Linked DNA regions of Macaca mulatta. The protein of the gene in region 2 purifies or fractionates together with the protein of the main gene of each other region. This does not show direct contact. Links are inferred from orthologs where the notes say so. Each region holds a gene or a part of one and is shown on either strand. Other genes may lie near its edges.

The links. The genes of interacting proteins can lie anywhere in the genome.
Region 1: the proteins of VDAC2 (region 2) and FAM162A fractionate together in Homo sapiens (co-fractionation; 3 studies listed by BioGRID and IntAct, with this or other methods). This does not show direct contact. The link is inferred for Macaca mulatta from reciprocal best matches to the Homo sapiens genes VDAC2 and FAM162A.
Region 3: the proteins of VDAC2 (region 2) and RAB7A purify together in Homo sapiens (affinity purification with mass spectrometry; 3 studies listed by BioGRID and IntAct, with this or other methods). This does not show direct contact. The link is inferred for Macaca mulatta from reciprocal best matches to the Homo sapiens genes VDAC2 and RAB7A.

The regions. Positions count from the first base shown.
Region 1 is NC_133407.1:161,379,776-161,386,049, reverse strand, and holds the start of FAM162A (protein FAM162A), read left to right. Parts: upstream 1-2,736; coding exon 2,737-2,770; exon of another isoform or gene 2,771-2,789; coding exon of another isoform or gene 2,790-2,796; intron 2,797-5,896; coding exon of another isoform or gene 5,897-5,948; intron 5,949-6,274. Other genes in the region: protein MIX23, read right to left, coding at 1,651-1,701. UniProt on the Homo sapiens protein: Proposed to be involved in regulation of apoptosis; the exact mechanism may differ between cell types/tissues.
Region 2 is NC_133414.1:74,375,339-74,380,069, forward strand, and holds the end of VDAC2 (non-selective voltage-gated ion channel VDAC2), read right to left. Parts: intron 2,269-4,731; exon of another isoform or gene 2,131-2,268; coding exon 2,073-2,130; exon of another isoform or gene 1,105-2,072; coding exon of another isoform or gene 1,060-1,104; intron 986-1,059; coding exon 894-985; 3' UTR 501-893; downstream 1-500. UniProt on the Homo sapiens protein: Non-selective voltage-gated ion channel that mediates the transport of anions and cations through the mitochondrion outer membrane and plasma membrane.
Region 3 is NC_133407.1:155,227,461-155,233,511, forward strand, and holds the start of RAB7A (ras-related protein Rab-7a), read right to left. Parts: upstream 3,539-6,051; 5' UTR 3,362-3,538; intron 1-3,361.

The DNA of each region.
Region 1 (6,274 bases), on a different chromosome or scaffold from region 2:
CATTTTGGGAGGCCAAGGGGGATGTGGATCACCTGAGGTCTGGAGTTTGAGACCAGCCTGGTCAACATGGTGAAACCCCGTCTCTACTAAAAATACAAAAACTAACTGGGCGTGGTAGGGGCATCTGTAATCCCAGCTATGGAGGTGGAGGTTGGAGTGAGCCAAGATCGTGCCACTGCACTCCAGCCTGGGGCACACAGCGAGACTGTCTCAAAAAAAAAAAAAAAAAAGAAGAGGAAGAGATACCAGAGATCCTTCTCCTTCCATGTGCAGGCACAGAGAAGAGATAGTGACATAGAGAAGACATGGTGAGAAAGCAGCCATTTACAAGCCAGGAAGAGAGGCCTTACTATAACTAATTGTGATGGCACTTTTCCCCCCTTAAATCAAACTGTGTAGCCTAGAAACTGATGGCAGCTTAATCTTGGACTTCTAGTCTCCAGAACTGTGAAAAAATAAATCTCTACTGTTTAAGCCACCTAGTTTGTGGTATTTTGTTATGGCAGCCCTAGCAGACTAATACAGTATCCAATAAATTCTTGAATGCGTGCTAAAATGGGATTCTAGGCACTCGATTTTAAACACTCTTTTCTGGATTTTATTTCAATTTGGAAATAGGATATTTTCCAGATGTACTAAATCTAATTTTTGTAATGAAAATATAAGAATTGCAAAAATTTAAAACACTTTAGGCCGGGCGTGGTGCCTCATGCCGGTAATCCCAACACTTTGGGAGGATGAGGCAGGAACATTATTTGGTGAGACACTGTCTTACAAAATTTCTTTTAAAAAATTACCCGGGCGTGGTGACACGTGCCTGTAGTCCTTGCTACAGGGAGGCTGAGGCAGTATTCAAGAATACCACTACCTTCAAACCGTTCAAAGTACAAAGCTTACTACAGATAGGTCAATTTTTCAGTATCTTGGGTTAGTTAATGCAATACATACTTAAGATCATGATTTTGGAATTCAACTTTGTAACTAAACAGAAGCACACTTATGACTGAATTGGAACAGATAACTTTAATGGCAACTTGGTCAAAACCAGATCCCTATTCTTTAATTCACGGGTTAATAATTAGCCCTAGATCTCTGATATTTGAACATAAAAAGGCAGAACCTTTAAATATAACATCTTTTCTAATGGGCAATGACACTAGAGCAGGTACTAGAATTAATCCTCCCTCCAAGCTTCCATACGTTCTGTCCCACAAAAATAGTAAATTGTACCAAGTGTTTGTTTTATCAACTAAATAACTCTACTTCACTTTTTTCTCTCCCACAAAAACTCTACTTAGAAAAGTACGAGACGAATGGCAGAAGCTGGAAACTGAGTTCAGGGAACTGCTACAAGATTGTTACAATTCTTATCCACGGATCCCGAGCTTTACCACCGCGGATTACCCAGAGCTTCCCACTCAAGGCCTGTGAGCCGCGGAGAGAACTATGATCCCCCTCCTCCCTCCTCCTACAGAGCAGCCTTGCTCCCTAAGGCCAAACCCATGCCCCCCATGACCTCCAATGGCTCTACAAAAGAGCTTTGAATTGCCCGCTTTTTCCAAAGCTGGTTCATACTCCCTCGCAAAGCAGGGAATAGGGTCTGGGGACAAAAGGAGGGACATGCCTGCCACATGAGGAAAACCCCATCACCTGGAACTCGGCGAACTCCTCACAGTTCACACCGCCACTGGGCGCCGCCATATTGGACAAACACGAGGACCCCGCTGCAGGCCAATCACCGCGGAGCAAAGGTGACCGCGGAGCCGCCTGACAAAAAATATAGCATGAGGGGAATCCTTAGGAAAGCTGAGTGCAAGACTTGACTTCTACGTGGTCCGCATCCACCTCGAAACCTGTCACCCTGCTGTCCTAACCCCTTTAACATGCCCTCCTGGAACTGGGCCAGATGCATGGATCAAAGATTGTCAGAACTTGAAGGGGCTGTTTACTCCAATCTCATCTTCACAAAAGGGAAACAATTTCCTTGTCGTTCCCCTACCAGGTCGTTGAAAGAAATCTAGGCAAGTGAGGCCTAATACCTCTCACTCCAGTGCCTATCTTCCTCCCTCGACCCTGGAGCAGAAGGGTCTTTGTTCAGAATTTGGGACCACTAAGAAACGTCAAAGAAAAAACGGCATTTCTGGCAGAGTGGGTGGGTATGAGTAAGGTGTTTAGGATGGAGATGATCAAATGTTTTTAGAAAATAGGTAAATAGAAAACAAATTGAAAACATACACGTTAATTTCTCAGATTTGCCTGAGGGATGCTCCAAAGCCAAAAGGTCACTGAGCACTGAGTCTAATTACGTGTTTTCTGATAAAAGCGTATGTTCATTGAAAACACTGGAAGAGCGGCATACTGGAATACTGGTTTATCTGGTGTATTTCGGGCGTTTACAGCTCACGAAAGTTGCACTTTTCCCTTCTATTTCACACAGGTCCTTCCATGGATGCATATCCGCTAGGGCAAGAACCCACGGCGCCACACTCCACAAGACCATTTCCAAAACTGGCTCGGAACGCGGCGCCAGGGGCACTAGGCTGGCGCCGCCGGTCTCCAGCGCGTCGCGCACGTCCTGCACGCCCCGCACTGGCGCATGCCGGTCCACAGCGTCGCGCACGCCCCACCCCCTGCGCCGCCTGCGTCCTTCCCTCTCCAGCACTGGGTGACATTGAGCTCACTAGCGCCGCCGTCCCCGGCGAAGTTCTGCGCTGGTCGGCGGAGTAGTAGGTGGCCATGGGGACCCTCCGCGGTCTGCTCCTGGCAGCGGGTGAGACGCCGGTCGGGCTATGGGAGGTAGGGCAGCTGGCCCGGCCGCTGCGGGTGGGGGAATCCTGAAGCCTTCCTAGGCCCCAGAGTGGCTCCATTCCATGACGCACTTTCTCGGTTGCTCGGAATCCTGCCTCCTTAGTGTCAGTGTGGGAGAGAACTAGGTGAGCAGCTACTGATAGACATTGGAGACTGCCCGTGAGTTACCCTCATCTCCATCCACTCAGCTCCCACCAATTTAACTGCCCACGTGCCTACCCTTCTCCCCACCCCAGTCCTCAGACTCCCCTGAGCTCAGTCTGTGAAACACCTACTATCCCTAGACTTCCCTTTTACCCATTCATTCAGCTTTCCACCCTAACCACCCCTATCTGTTGCTCTACTTGAGTCTTCCCTCTTCCCTGCCCCTTCCTCTCTGGAGTTTATCCCAGAAAACCTCCAGTCTGAAGTTTCCCCACTCATTAAATGTCTGATTAGGCCAAGGATTTAGGTCTTACAGATTAATAATAATTATTTTCTTAAAATGGAGGATACATTACTTTTAAACACTTATACAATTAATTGATTCGAATTTCTTGGAGGAAAGTGTGTAATTGAAGGATCTGCAGTTTGTTTTGGTGGTAGACATTTGTGTGATGACTGTTTTGGACTTAGGTAATGAAAACTCTTGGGAGGACCAGCAGAGCCTTGGCATAGTAGGGGTTGAGAAATCAGAGGGCTTGCATTTTGCCTCTTTTCTAGGTACCAGAGATCTTTTGTTCAATGGCGCTACATTATTAAAAAGTTGTTAATTCAATTTTTAAAGGAAAAATAGCCCCAAACTTGGCTATTCAAATAATATAAATGTATATTGTAAATGTAAATGAAATAATGCAAAAAAAAAAGTGAATGTTGCATAGTTTCACAAGTTTGGTATATAACCCTCCCCACCCCAAGGTTATCCTTTACACAGCTTATCTGATGTTCCAGTGGAGAATGGACTGGAAAACATGTCTCAAACTAAGGAGTATTATTATATTTGCTTCCTTTAAAAGCAAACACTTTCTCCACTAAAATCCTCAGTACTATGATTGATTTTATTGATTTTGTCAGTTTTGTTGAACTAATTCACCTAAAATATCTTCTGTACATCATATTAACCATTATAAAGCTTTTCAACAAGGCAAGTGAAAGGATCGTTGCTCTGTAAAAAAGTTAAAATGGACTGCAGGAAAAGAACTTTGACATCTTGGAACTAATACTGAGTGTATTGTAAGTAGTTCACCTTCTTGCTTTGATAGTATATTTATGCATCTTGAAAATTCCAAAGCCTCTCTGCAAACTTCTGATATGTGAAAACTTCACTATTGACCACTTAACCAAAGCAGAATTCCTTGAGTGGTTTAAGAACAAGTTATTTTACTTCAGATATAAAATGTTTAATAGCACACTAAGGATGTTATATGAGCAGCTCTCTCCATATGATCTTCCACGAATATCTGATGCTTTGTGAGCAACTCCAGAACAACCTACTGCCTTTCACCCACTTCCTAGCTAAACACTTTCATATACATTATTTTGTTGGATGGATTTCTCATAGCAGCCCTCTCAGGTGAGTCTTACTCCTCCCACACTTTATAAGTGAAGAAACATAGGTTAGAGATGACTTGTCCAGGATCACTTTGCCAGCAAATGTTAGAGCCAGGATAGGAGTCGGTACCCTCTAATTCTGGAATTTTTGTGCTTTTTGCTGTTGTTCAAACTGTTCATTCAGGGGCTGTGCGTGTATGAATTTGTCATGACTAATTGGGTCTCAATCTGAAATGAAAGAGTCATGAAATGCAGATTTAGTTCTGAAATGCAAGTACATCTTCATGTGCAAATGGCTTTTCAAGAAAGAAGACTGATTTAATAAGCAGCCTTAGCCAAAGGAATGATAGATCAAATAGAAATGTAGGCCCAGTGTGGTGGCTCACGCCTGCCATCCCAGCACTTTGGGAGGCTGATACCGGAGGATTGCTTGAGACCAGGAGTTTGAGACCAACCTGGCTAACTTAGCAAGAGCCTGTCTCTCCGAAAAGCTTTTACAAATCAGCTGGGCATGGTGGCTCAAACCCGTGGTCTCAGCTACTCAGGAAGCTGAGGCAAGAAGATCACTTGAGCCCAGAAGTTTGAGGCTGCATTGGGCTATAATACAGTCATGCTACCACACTCCAGTCTGGGCAACAGAGTGAGACCCTGTCTCTGGGGAAAAAAAAAAAAAAGCATAATCTAGGCGTCCCTTATTTATCCAGAATATTTGGAATAAGATTCTCTACATAAGTGAAATTTCAGATGATCAAAACTTAACCTTATAAATGACGGACCTTTACTTTTGTTTCTGTTGGCAATCTTTGGTATACTCCCTTAGCAAACAATATAGCAAACATAATATAGGCTTTTATGAGCTCGAATTTGTTATTTTGTAGATGTAGTTGTAGATACAGATCAGGGTTGTTAAGTTGTGGTACTGGACACTTCCATGTTTGAGAGGTCCTGTGAACTTCTCAAATTTTTATGATTGTGTACCATTTTTGAGAGAGAGGGTCCATAACTTGTATCTGCTACTCAGAGCAGTTCATGCTCTTTAAGTTAAAAAGCACTGATACAGATGATTAGGAACTAAATGGCCATTTACCCACACTATGCTGGGTTTCATGAGGGTAAACACTAGATCTGTTTTGTTTTTACTCAATCCTTACCACTTACTGGTGTTCAGCTCATAGTAGACAGGCAATGCATATTTTTTGGACGAAGGACGCTAGGACATATCTTGGAACATGCTGCAAATATAAGGTGAGTTTTCACACCTCTTTTCTCCTGAAAGAATAAAATAGATATAACTTTTAGGATATTGTATCTTTCTACAGAATGATTATTAGTTCAAAGGAATAGAATGACCTTACAAGAATGTTTCTTCTTGAAAGAAAGTTTTGCTGCCCTAAACTCTGTTGACTGGTCAGATTTGAAAATGAATTTATTATCGTCATTATTGTTACCAATGTAATGGACTATGGGCTGCCTTCCTTTTAGTTTAACTGACATTTCAGAGCATTAGAGTAGAGAGATATCTTAGAATTCAGGTAATCTAGTCCTCTAATTTTTACAGATGAGGAAACTTAAGGGCCAAGAAGGGAATCGGCTTGCTAAGGATCACACAGGTACAGACCTGGGACATAGCCAATATCCCCTGGCTCCCATTCTGATTTTATTTCTATCACATTCTGCTACCTTATTGTTCTGTTTGTTCTTGCTAACCAACCTTAAATGAGAACATACCCATTTTAACTACCCCCACCTTTGGCTTTGCTCATTGCTCCTCTCCAGGTCTTACCAAGTATTTATTGAGTACACAATGAATGCCTTGTATGTATATTGTGAAGGCTCTAAAATGAATGGACTGCACCACTCCTATGGCTGATTTATTGCAGTGAACAAACAAACATATAATACACCAGAAAAACCTATACAAAACAGTATATATATA
Region 2 (4,731 bases):
CTTTCAATGTCTGCCTAGAAGGAAATGAGTAATGATCTCTCAGAGTCCCACAGGTTACCCTTACTGTCTACAACTTACTCTTCTGTACGCCTAACACCATCGCACCAAACCAGGGCCTACTTTATTTTCCTAGCAGTAGCTCACAGGGGTATGGTGTGTTTGTGTATCTTTTCAGCACCTTCTTTTTCCTTTCAGTTATGCAGGGCAATTCTGCACAGACTTACAAACTGAAGAGTATAAAAGCATGTATCCTCTTACTGTAGTCTTAAAAAGCTCGTGGAATTATTCTAGGGACACAGAAGATTCTGTGGCACAGATTTAAGTAAAGAGCAAAATACTCACTGGAAAAATTAAATACTGGCTAGCTACCACGGAGATTTGACCCTAGCTGGCAAACATGGAACTCTGCAAATACTTGGAGCCATTAATTATGTATACTTGTTTTATTCATAATTTGTCATGTTCTGGGATACCAAAAGTAATAATGGCTGAACTTAACAAAATTTTTAACCTCATCTCAATATCCACTGATCCATCTCATTCAATGGTAATAGTCAATGTTTTCTAAAGGAACATAAAAACAAACATGCACACAATTGCACAGTTTTCATAAAGGTCTATTTCATTATTGGTGGGTAGCGCATTTAACAGTTAAATACATTTAAATAATGTATAGGTGACTGCAGGACTGCAGCATTGGTAACTAGATAACCAATTCAACTAGAAACCAGCTAACAAGGAACTGTCTAAATACTTAAAATACAGCTCTTGTTGAGATCATTCTTTGTTTTGATCATCTTCTTGGGGGAAAAAAAGCCTGCTGCTGGTCACAATGGAAATATATTAAGGCCAAATCTTCTGATATCCATTCCCAAAGGTATCTTTCAGCTGGATTAAGCCTCCAACTCCAGGGCGAGCCCAAGCTTGTGACCTCCAGCATTAATGCTCTTTCCGTCTACCAGAGCAGAGAGTGTAAGCTTCACACCTATTAAGACAAACACAAAAACAAAACACTGTGATGTACCTGGCACTTCACTCAGTCTGAGCCTTCTTTCACAGTCATCCCCAGAAGCCTGCCTGTCACTTCCTCAGCCTGTCAGCTGACCTACTAGTGCTGGCCACCAGAGGGCGCTTGGAAGTATCTGAGACACCAGAAGGACTGGGTTACCATTCTAGGTAAGGCACCAAGTCACAGAGAAATGTTTTAATAACAAGTTCAAAGTGCTCTAGAATATACAATAATGTTGAGTATACTATCCAGATGAAGAGAGACTAGAGACATAATCATAATTAGATCCTAGAAAGGGAAACCTACAATAAAGACACATTTGGGGACGGGGTAAATCTGAATATATATTTGGTATTACATTAATGTTAGTTTTCTTAGATGCGATAATGGTATTGTGCTTATAAAGAAAAATGTCTTACTCTTAGGATACACATGCTAGGAGCTGCCGTGTCTGTATGTCTGCAAAACATACAGTTTTTTAAAAAAAGTATGTGAAGTTTCAGAGACATAAATGCTGTAAATTTTAATAACTGGTCAACATAGGGTAAGGGTATATGATGTTCACTGTACCATTCTTCCAACTTTTCTTTAGGTTTCAAAATCGCCAAAATAAACTTTGGGAAGGAAAATCCCTATTTGGAGGGGGGAAAGTCCCCAGTACTTTAACCAGACTCCAAGATGAGTCATGTGCATTGTGAAGTTGGAGAAATGCTGCTCTAGACACAGCATGCTTCAAAATATTATATAAAGTCAACAAGACTATAGACAGAACCAAAGCAATGAGTGAACTTTTATCAACAAAATAAAAATTACTTTTATTTTAGAGAGAGAGAGAGAGAAAGAAAGAGAAAGGAAGGAAGGAACGGAGGGAGGGAAAGAAAGAAAGGAAAAGAAACAAAAAGAAAGGAAGGAAAGAAAGAGAGTTGTGGCAAAAGGTAAACATGTATTTATTGTACTCTTCTTTCAACTCTTCTGTGTGCTTGAAAGGTCTGAAAAATAAGCTGAAGAATGAAAACTAATTTTTTTAATATCAAAACAATCCTACTTTATCAAGAATACTTACCAGGCCTCAGAGTCTGAGTGTAGCCTACTCCAATTAAGCTAGAGTTGTTGACTTTTGCCTAAAATAAAATTCAAAAACAACTGTAAGAAAAATATTTCAGTAGGGACAAAGCCCCCTACATGTTTCCCCATCATGTAGTCGTGAAGTGTTCAGTTTTATTCACGAGACAATAAAATTCATTATGTATTAAGCCAAACAGAAATCAGGTACTACTTAATTCATATCCATTCAACTCAAAAATCAAATTGTCAGTAGGACACGATACTCCTGATAGCCACTGGAATGTATCCAAAGACCCCAAACTGTCCGTACAGCACAAGAGCCTAAGCACTCTCATAAAAATCATCTTTGTCGATTCTAGTCTAGCACAACAAAACCAGACCAAATGTGGTACAAATCAGGCTCACTAGAGGTGACACACAGCAGCCTTAAAGTGCAGGGTATCAAGTTTAAATTCATGACTTAGTTACACACATGTAAACTTTCCTACTTTCAGGACTCTTCCTAAAGAACCAAAACCATCAATGTTAAAAAAAAAAAAAAAATCTCCAAACAAGTAATTCCTCTGAAGAATCAGATCAAACAATCCTTTATCCTCACATTCTCACACCTCTCATGAATGCCAGTGCTGCTGAGTTCTGGCTGTATGTAACCACTGTGCTTGGGAGGAGGTCCCAGTGAGGTATCATGTACCAATCCAGGCCCCTGCCTTCCTTGCACAATCCTAACATTTCAGGACTTACAGACTTCAAGGGCTGGAAGGAACCCTGAAGAGTATGACATAGTAAGGAGTAGATTCCTTCTAGTTCCATTCTCTACCACCCCTAACACTATGAAGCCACACCAGAGGCCAGGAACACCTCCCTTCATTTCCAGGGCATAGGTTGCCTAGATACGCAACTTTGCTTTGCTTTCAGCATTATGAGGGCTACTGTATAAAGGTAACAAACAGCCTATGTGACCAAAACAGATCTCCAAATGATTTGATGTCTATAGTCTTATAATGTGTAACATCCAAAGAGCCCAATCCAGAGAAAGAAATGATGTAACTATACAGATACAAACCACATCCACAACACCTGTATTCACTTGGCACTACAGCCAAATATTCATGAGCTACCAATGACCATCTAAAAAAACAGGCCTGGTGCAGTGACTGACACCAGTAATCCCAGCACTTTGGGGGCCAAGGCGGGAGGATCACTTGAGCCCAGGAATTCAACAACAGTCTGAGCAACACAGTGAGACCCCTGTCTGTCTGTACAAAATTTTTCTAGCTTGGCATGATGGTGCACACCTACCCAACTATCGGGGAAGCGGGAGTGAGATGGAAGGATCTCTTAAGCCCGGGTGGCTGAGGGTACAGTGAGCTGTGGTTGCACTAGTGAACTCCAGCCTAGGCAACACAAAGCAAAAAAAAAGAAAAAAAAAAAGAAAAAGAAAAGAAAAAAAAAATACCTCATTAATGACCATCCTGTGCCCTACAAATAAGAGCCTCAGACAGCTGAACAGACATTCCTATTATTGGCCGGGCGCAATGGTTCACACCTGTAATCCCAGCACTTTGGGAGGCCAAGGCGGGCAGATCACAAGGTCAGGAGATCGAGACCATCCTCGCTAACACGGTGAAACCCTGTCTCTACTAAAAATAGAAAAAATTAGCCGGGGCGTGTACCCGGAAGGCAGAGGTTGCAGTGAGCTGAGATTGCGCCACTGCACTCTAGCCTCGGCGACAGAGTGGGACTCCCGTCTCAAAAAAAAAAAAAGAAGAAATTCCTACTATTGGCCAGACTCAGTGGCTCACGCCTGTAATCCCAGCACTTTGGGAGGATCACGAGGTCAGGAGTTCAAGACTAGCCTGGCCAAGATGGTGAAACCCCATCTCTACTAAAACTATAAAAATTAGCCAGGCACAGTGGCAGGTGCCTGTAATCCCAGCTACTCGGGGAGCTGAAGCAGGAGAATCGCTTGAATCCGGGTGGCAGAGGTTGCAGTGAGCAGAGATCGCACCACTGCACTCCAGCCAGGGCGACAAAGTGAGACTCTGTCTCAAAAAAAAAAAAAAAAAAGAAAAGAAAAAAAAAAAGAAATTCCTATTATTTAACAGTAGGAGTTAAACCATGAAACTGTGATAAGGAGTAGAAAAAATAAACTCAGTTTCTCCCTCTATACTCTCACAAGGCCTAGGGAGAATTTCCCACACATCAAGCAAACAATTCTGCAGCAGATTCCAGCTAGATGTTCTCTAATTCGATTCTGATACTATCTACCTGGAGAGAGAGCATTGGATCACACACAGGTTCAGCGCTCAGTTTCATAAAACTGCCCCGCCCTCATTTTCAATGCCAATTGAAAGTTCCAGGTTGTTTTGCCTGTTTCTTACAGACTGGTTATAAATCGGGGTTCCCACAAGTCCCTGGGGTTCAATTTCCCAGAGTGGCACAGAGAACTCAGGGAAACATTTACCAGTTATATAGGATATTTTAAAGGATGTAAATGAACAGCCAGATGAAGATATTTATGTATCTTTTCCTTTATAGGTGAGGTCTGGAAGGGTCCCAAGCACAGGAGCTTCCATCCCTGTGAAGCTGGGGTGCCCCATCCTCCCATAACATGAATGTATTATTGTTTACCTTCCTGAAGGCCCCCTGAACTCAGT
Region 3 (6,051 bases), on a different chromosome or scaffold from region 2:
AGAGCAATGTGCATAAGACAACCGTCGTATTTGTGTGGTCTGTGTTTGCTGCATCTTTGTATACAAAAGCTAATGCCAAAGTAAGAGCAAAAATGTTATTAGCAAAGAACTCTTTGAAGACGTATTAAAAGCTAATCAAATAACCAAAATTTTTTGGCTTCACTTGGCAGTGGGGTCAGAAAACTGATTCAAAGCCACACTTTACTATAAAGCGTTGTTCTCTGATACAGGTTTTGTGAGCTTAGACACAGTTGGCATCAAAAAAAATACGAAAAAAAGGCCGGGCACGGTGGCTCAAGCCTGTAATCCCAGCACTTTGGGAGGCCGAGGCGGGTGGATCACGAGGTCAGGAGATCGAGACCATCCTGGCTAACATGGTGAAACCCCGTCTCTACTAAAAATACAAAAAACTAGCCGGGCGTGGTGGCGGGCGCCTGTAGTCCCAGCTACTCGGAGGCTGAGGCGGGAGAATGGCGTGAACCCGGGAGGTAGAGCTTGCAGTGAGCCGAGATCGCGCCACTGCACTCCAGCCTGGGTGACAGAGCGAGACTCCATCTCAAAACAAAAACAAAAACAAAAACAAAAACAAAAACGAAAAAAAAAATTGCCCCACGTGGTTGCTAACTACCTAGAAGGATATACTAATAAAACTATTTTTAGAGTATCTTCTACATTCCACCCTCTGTTTACTCATGCAGTTCTACCACAAATGCAAAATCCAAATCTTCTCTTGAAGCGAACCTAGAAAGTTTGTGGGAGATAGGGTAGCACAGCTTTTCTATGTAGAATGGTACTGAAACTATGGCCGACACAATATCAGTGCTACATTAAACTTTCTTGCCAGCTGAAGAAAAAAATCCAGTATGCCAAATGTCCAAATGTACCTTTGCTCAAAGACACTGCAGTGCAAGGTAATGGTAGTGACATGGACTACTTCTCGAGTGAACCAAAAAAATGCCACTAGAGTCGGCCGGACGCAGTGGCTCATGCCTGTAATCCCAGTACTTTGGGAGGCCAAGGCAGGCAGATCACCTGAGGTAGGGAGTTCGAGACCAGCCTGACCAACATGGAGAAACCCTGTCTCTATTAAAAATACAAAATTAGCCGGGCATGGTGGCACATGCCTGTAATCCCAGCCACTCGGGAGGCTGAGGCAGGAGAATGGCTTGAACCCGGGAGGCAGAGGTTGCAGTGAGCTGAGATCGCGCTATTGCACTCCAGCCTGGGCAACAAGAGAGAAACTCCGTGTCAAAAAATAAATAAAATAAAACAAATGCCACCAGAGCAAAAGGAGAAACAAGTAGAGTGTTGAAGGTTACTCTTTAAAAGATGTGATAAATTAGAAACTGTAATATTATCTTCTACACTCTCTGAAGAGCATACAAATGCTGTTGTTAAAATTAACAAAGCCTTAAAGTTAGCCAGAACACCATCCTTTGGATTACTACGGATTCATCAGCAGAAATGAGAAATAACTCTTTCCAAAAAGCCTCAAGTTCTACCACCAAATCATTCCACAATAGAATTTCTGGCCAAGATCATTCACCTTTTAAAAATTCCCTGAGGACAGGAACCATGCCTATCTCCCTGAGTCAACATCCCACAACGCCTGATACATTGCTGATACTCAATGGATACTCAAAATACTTCATGAATGAATAAAAAGGTGCCTATCATTACTCTCCTCTAAACTCAAACATTATATAAAGCTACAGTACTTATTACTCACTTAAATATTTTAGGCTGGGTAGCAAAGGTAAAAAAAAAAAAAAAAAAGACAAATTTGAATACAACAGGATTGTGAACGCTAAGCTTTAACTTAGCCAGTCCCTTCAGGAGAAGCACTCCTAACTCACCTTCCAGTTCTTAAATCCAAATCTGAACAAACCTTCCCAGGTTTGAAGAGAGAAACACACTAAGAGGAGACTTTATTAATCCATGGATGAGAAATCATGTGCCTCATCAGCTGCTTAAGTCACAAGAAAGAGACAAGAGCCTGTTCTTTAGGAAACCAAAGATGCAGTATTTTGAATAGGGAAGAACCAACTGGCTGGACAGCCATCAACTAAGGTTGTAAGAAAGGTTCGCTAGGCAGCTTTGCCAGGCCTACCTGCAAAATTTTTCAAACCTCAGTTAAGTACCCCGCCAGTATTCAAGAGCTCCTAATTCAACTACACTACAATATGTGTGATAAGTCGCAAACGGCATTTCTTATGGCTTTAAGAGAGAACTGATGCTACCAGAAAGACTTTCAAACGACATCAACAGAAAGAAAGGAGGTGGTGGAAGGCAGTGAGGTACAGATACCAGGTGGCAAAAGATAAACCACAAGCTTTAGGGGCACGTGAAAGCAGTATAACCTACAAATTGAATAAAGTGCTCTGGAGTCTGACTGCCTGGGCTTGCATCTTTGCTTCGTAACTTAGCTGTGTGACCTTGGTCAAATGGTTTAGCCTCTCTGTTCAATTTCCCACTGTGTTAAGTGGGCACAACAGTGGTACTTTAGAGGGTTGTTCAAAGAACTAAACATAATGATCTGTTAAAAGGTCTTGCCACGCTGCCTAGCATATAACAAACGCTCAAATATTTGCTGTCAGTATTCTCAATATTCCCCTTATGACCCATTAGGTATCAAGCGTAAAATGAATGCAGAAAGAGGCCCCCAACACGGTCCGAATGGAAACACAACTCTACATCCAACTACCATCTTTCCCCGACTAAGTTGAAAAACTTCTCTCAGGATTTACCGTAACATGCCTAGGACAAAAAGCTCCCTGTCTCCCAGCGCCAGAGGCGCCTCAATGTACACAAGTGTTGAGGCGATCCCAGCGCACGTGACCTGACTCACGCCTTGACTCAGTTGCCGTCAGGGAACCTCTCCCACTAACAGGGTCAGGCTGTTCAACTGAAGAGCCGGAAGGGAACGCGGCTCGGCCCCCAGCGCCTGTGACCCATGCCCGCCAGGTGGGCACGGCGGCGGGCGGCGTGGGCTCTGACACCCTCCTGCTCGCCACGCTAAATAACTCCACCGCCTAGCGCGTCCTGCCGCGGCGCAGGGCAGTCCAAGTCAATGAACCCTCTTGGGTCTCTGAGATCGACGCCAACAGTAAACAGAGCGTCCGAGACCGGCGGCCGGGGCCGGCAACCCGGCCAGAGGTCACGCCCGACGACCTCCGACCTCTCCAACCCGGGTGGGGTCCTGGCCTGCTTCGTGGGCCTGAGCGATGCCGAGTTTGCCCGCGAGGCCAGGGCTGGGCCTGGAGCCTGCCAGGAGGACAGGGAGGACGCGAGGCCCTGGCGACCGAGGAGTTGAGGAGGGGGATGGGGCCAGGCCGCCGGCCGGGCTGGGCCCGCTGCTTACCGCGGCCTCTGCGCTGGGGGCTCTGGGCCGGGCGCGTCGCGAGGGCTCCCGCCGAGGAGGAGACTCAACGGAGGACAGAAGAGGGGAGGTCCAAGTTCTGGTTCCAGGGAACTCTGCTGAGCTCTCCAAGCCGCCAACTCCGCCGCTGCCGCCGCCTCAGGCTTTATGGCCAAGACTCCAGGCCCGCTCCCACTTCCGCCACTGCCGCCGCCCCGAGCGGAAGTACCTGTCACGAGACGCTCGACGCCGGGGTGCGGAGGAGGAGCCCCGCCTCAACCTTGAGTCACGTTCCGGCTGCCTTGGGACAGAGCCTGGATCACGTGCTACAAACATGTCTGCTCCCAAACGGTTGTCCCCATCTTTGAGGCTTGTACAAGGAGCAGGACGGCGCCATGTTGGACCCACAGACAGATTCCCTCAGCCATCCCTCCTTGCTCCAGAATAAAGAATGCCACCGAAGAGAGGTCAAGGGGTAAACTGGCCATTCCAATTGTGTCCTTCTTCGGAAGGCATCATTTATCCTTACTTTAACTACCTAACCAAAAATTATTATCACCATTTTACAAATAAGGAACTGAGACCGAACATATCAGGTCACTTGGTCTAGCTCAACACAGAAACTGGTGGAGCAGGGTTTTGAACCAAGGTCTGTCTGATGCCAATGTGTGTTATCGTTCTAGTAGACTGCAAATGACTACAGCAATTGTGTGACTCAGTAATAGAGACAGGAGAAATAGACACTTTGGCAGAGGAGACAGCACGAGAAAATGGAAAATGAGCTAAAGCCTCTCTGAACTTAGTATTAAAGAAGATGTGATAAAGATGGACCTGGTAGAACTCTTCTTGTAAGCACAGAGCAGCCTCCCAAGCACCAGCCCCATCTGAACACATCAGGATCCACTCAGAACTTTTGTCTCCATCTTTAACAATGCCCTCTAATAGTCTTTTCTTATTTGGTTCATGCAAACTCCATTCTTTCAATTGTTCCATCCAAAAACCTTGCAATTGTTACAGTAAGTAAGTAGTTAGACCTGAGCAGGGCAGGAGTGGGGCCACTCCCCCACCAGCAATGTGAGGCAACCATGACGTGGTGGTCAGATTAAGCTATCTCTCTAAAATAATAATTGGTTGCAGTCAGAACCAGGGAAAGAGTCTCCCAATAGATAAAAACACCTAAAACTGGTGATCAGCAGCTTCCCATTGAGATCTCAGAAGTTGAGGGGTCTGGGGAAAAAAAAAAAAAAAAAAAAAAACCTCAAAATCTAGGCAAGCAGTCCCAACCCTGAGATGGCACAATGTCTGGGGTTTCCCCTACTTTTTCAGCTAAAATTGGCTCTTTCCGCAAAACCCTCGCTACCTATTCTCCTGTTTTCTCTATGTGTATTCTGAAATGGCCTTGCACACTGCAGGACCATCAGCTTCTGGGGTAAGTCTACTTTTCTCTGCTTTCACTTTGCATGTGCCCAGGAGTTCGAGACCAGCTTGGGCAACATAACAAGACTGTCTCTTCCAAGATAAATAAAAAAGAAAGGAGAAGGCACACATCTACATCAGACTTTTGCAGTTGTACTTCTCTCTACCTGGAAAGCTCTTCCTCCAGGTATCTGCTTGGCCACTCGCTCACTTTCCTCTGGTCTTGACTTTAAAGTGACCTTTTCAGTGAAATAGCCTTCCCTATTTAAAACTGAAGTCCCTCTCTCTGTCACCACAACATAAACACAAAAATTGCCATCTCCCTACGGCTTTTCTCCTTTTTTTTTTTCTTTTCTTTTCTTTTTTTCTTTTTTTGAGACAAGGTCTTGCTCTGTTGCCGGTGCTGGAGTGCAGTGGCATAATCAGGGCCTACTGCAGCCTTGAACTTCTGGGCTCAAGTGATCCTCCTGTCTCAGCCTCCTGAGTAGCCACAGGCATACACCACTATGGCTTGCTAATTTTTTTTTTTTTTTTTTTTTTTTTTTGTAAAGAGAAGGTCTTGAACTCCTGGTGTCAAGTAATCCTCCCGACTCAGCCTCCCAAAGTTTTTCCTCTTATATTACTCACTTATTTGCATATTTTCTGCCTTCCCCACTAGAATGGCAGGTCCATAAGGCAGCTATTTTTGTCTATCTCATTCACTGCGATATCCCTGATTCTTAAAACAGTGTTAGGGTACAGTAGGTGCTCAATGTGTAGAATTTACAAAGTATTCAGGGGAATGAAAACTGAGAATAGTTTCAAAGGCCAAGAGTTATGATAATTCCACCCCATTCGGTAGCCAATCAAAATGCTAGGTTTGAAGATAAAGTAGCAACTGGGAATGCAGTAGTCCTTATCCCCAGGTCTGGCAGGGCTGACTGCAGGATTTGAGCATCTGAGTCCTAGAACCAATCCACCGCAAATAGCAAGGGACAATTATACCAGAAAAGGCAGAGCACAAAAATAAAATGGGACATGTGGGCCCCAGCCTTCTAAGAAGCCTTCTGAGAAGGCTATTCAGATGCAAACATGGGCTATTTCCTATGGGAAAGAAAGGACGACTTAAAAGAAACCCATGAGCCAGAAGGATAGAGCCAGGAGCTGCAGGTAATCATTCCCAAGGAGCAGTAGAGGACTCAATCAAGGAACTGGCATCACGTGCCTTGCTGGATTTCAGAATTACTATGACCCAGTGGCAGCTGTCAGTCCTGTTTTTTCCCCTTTTGAACAAAAGT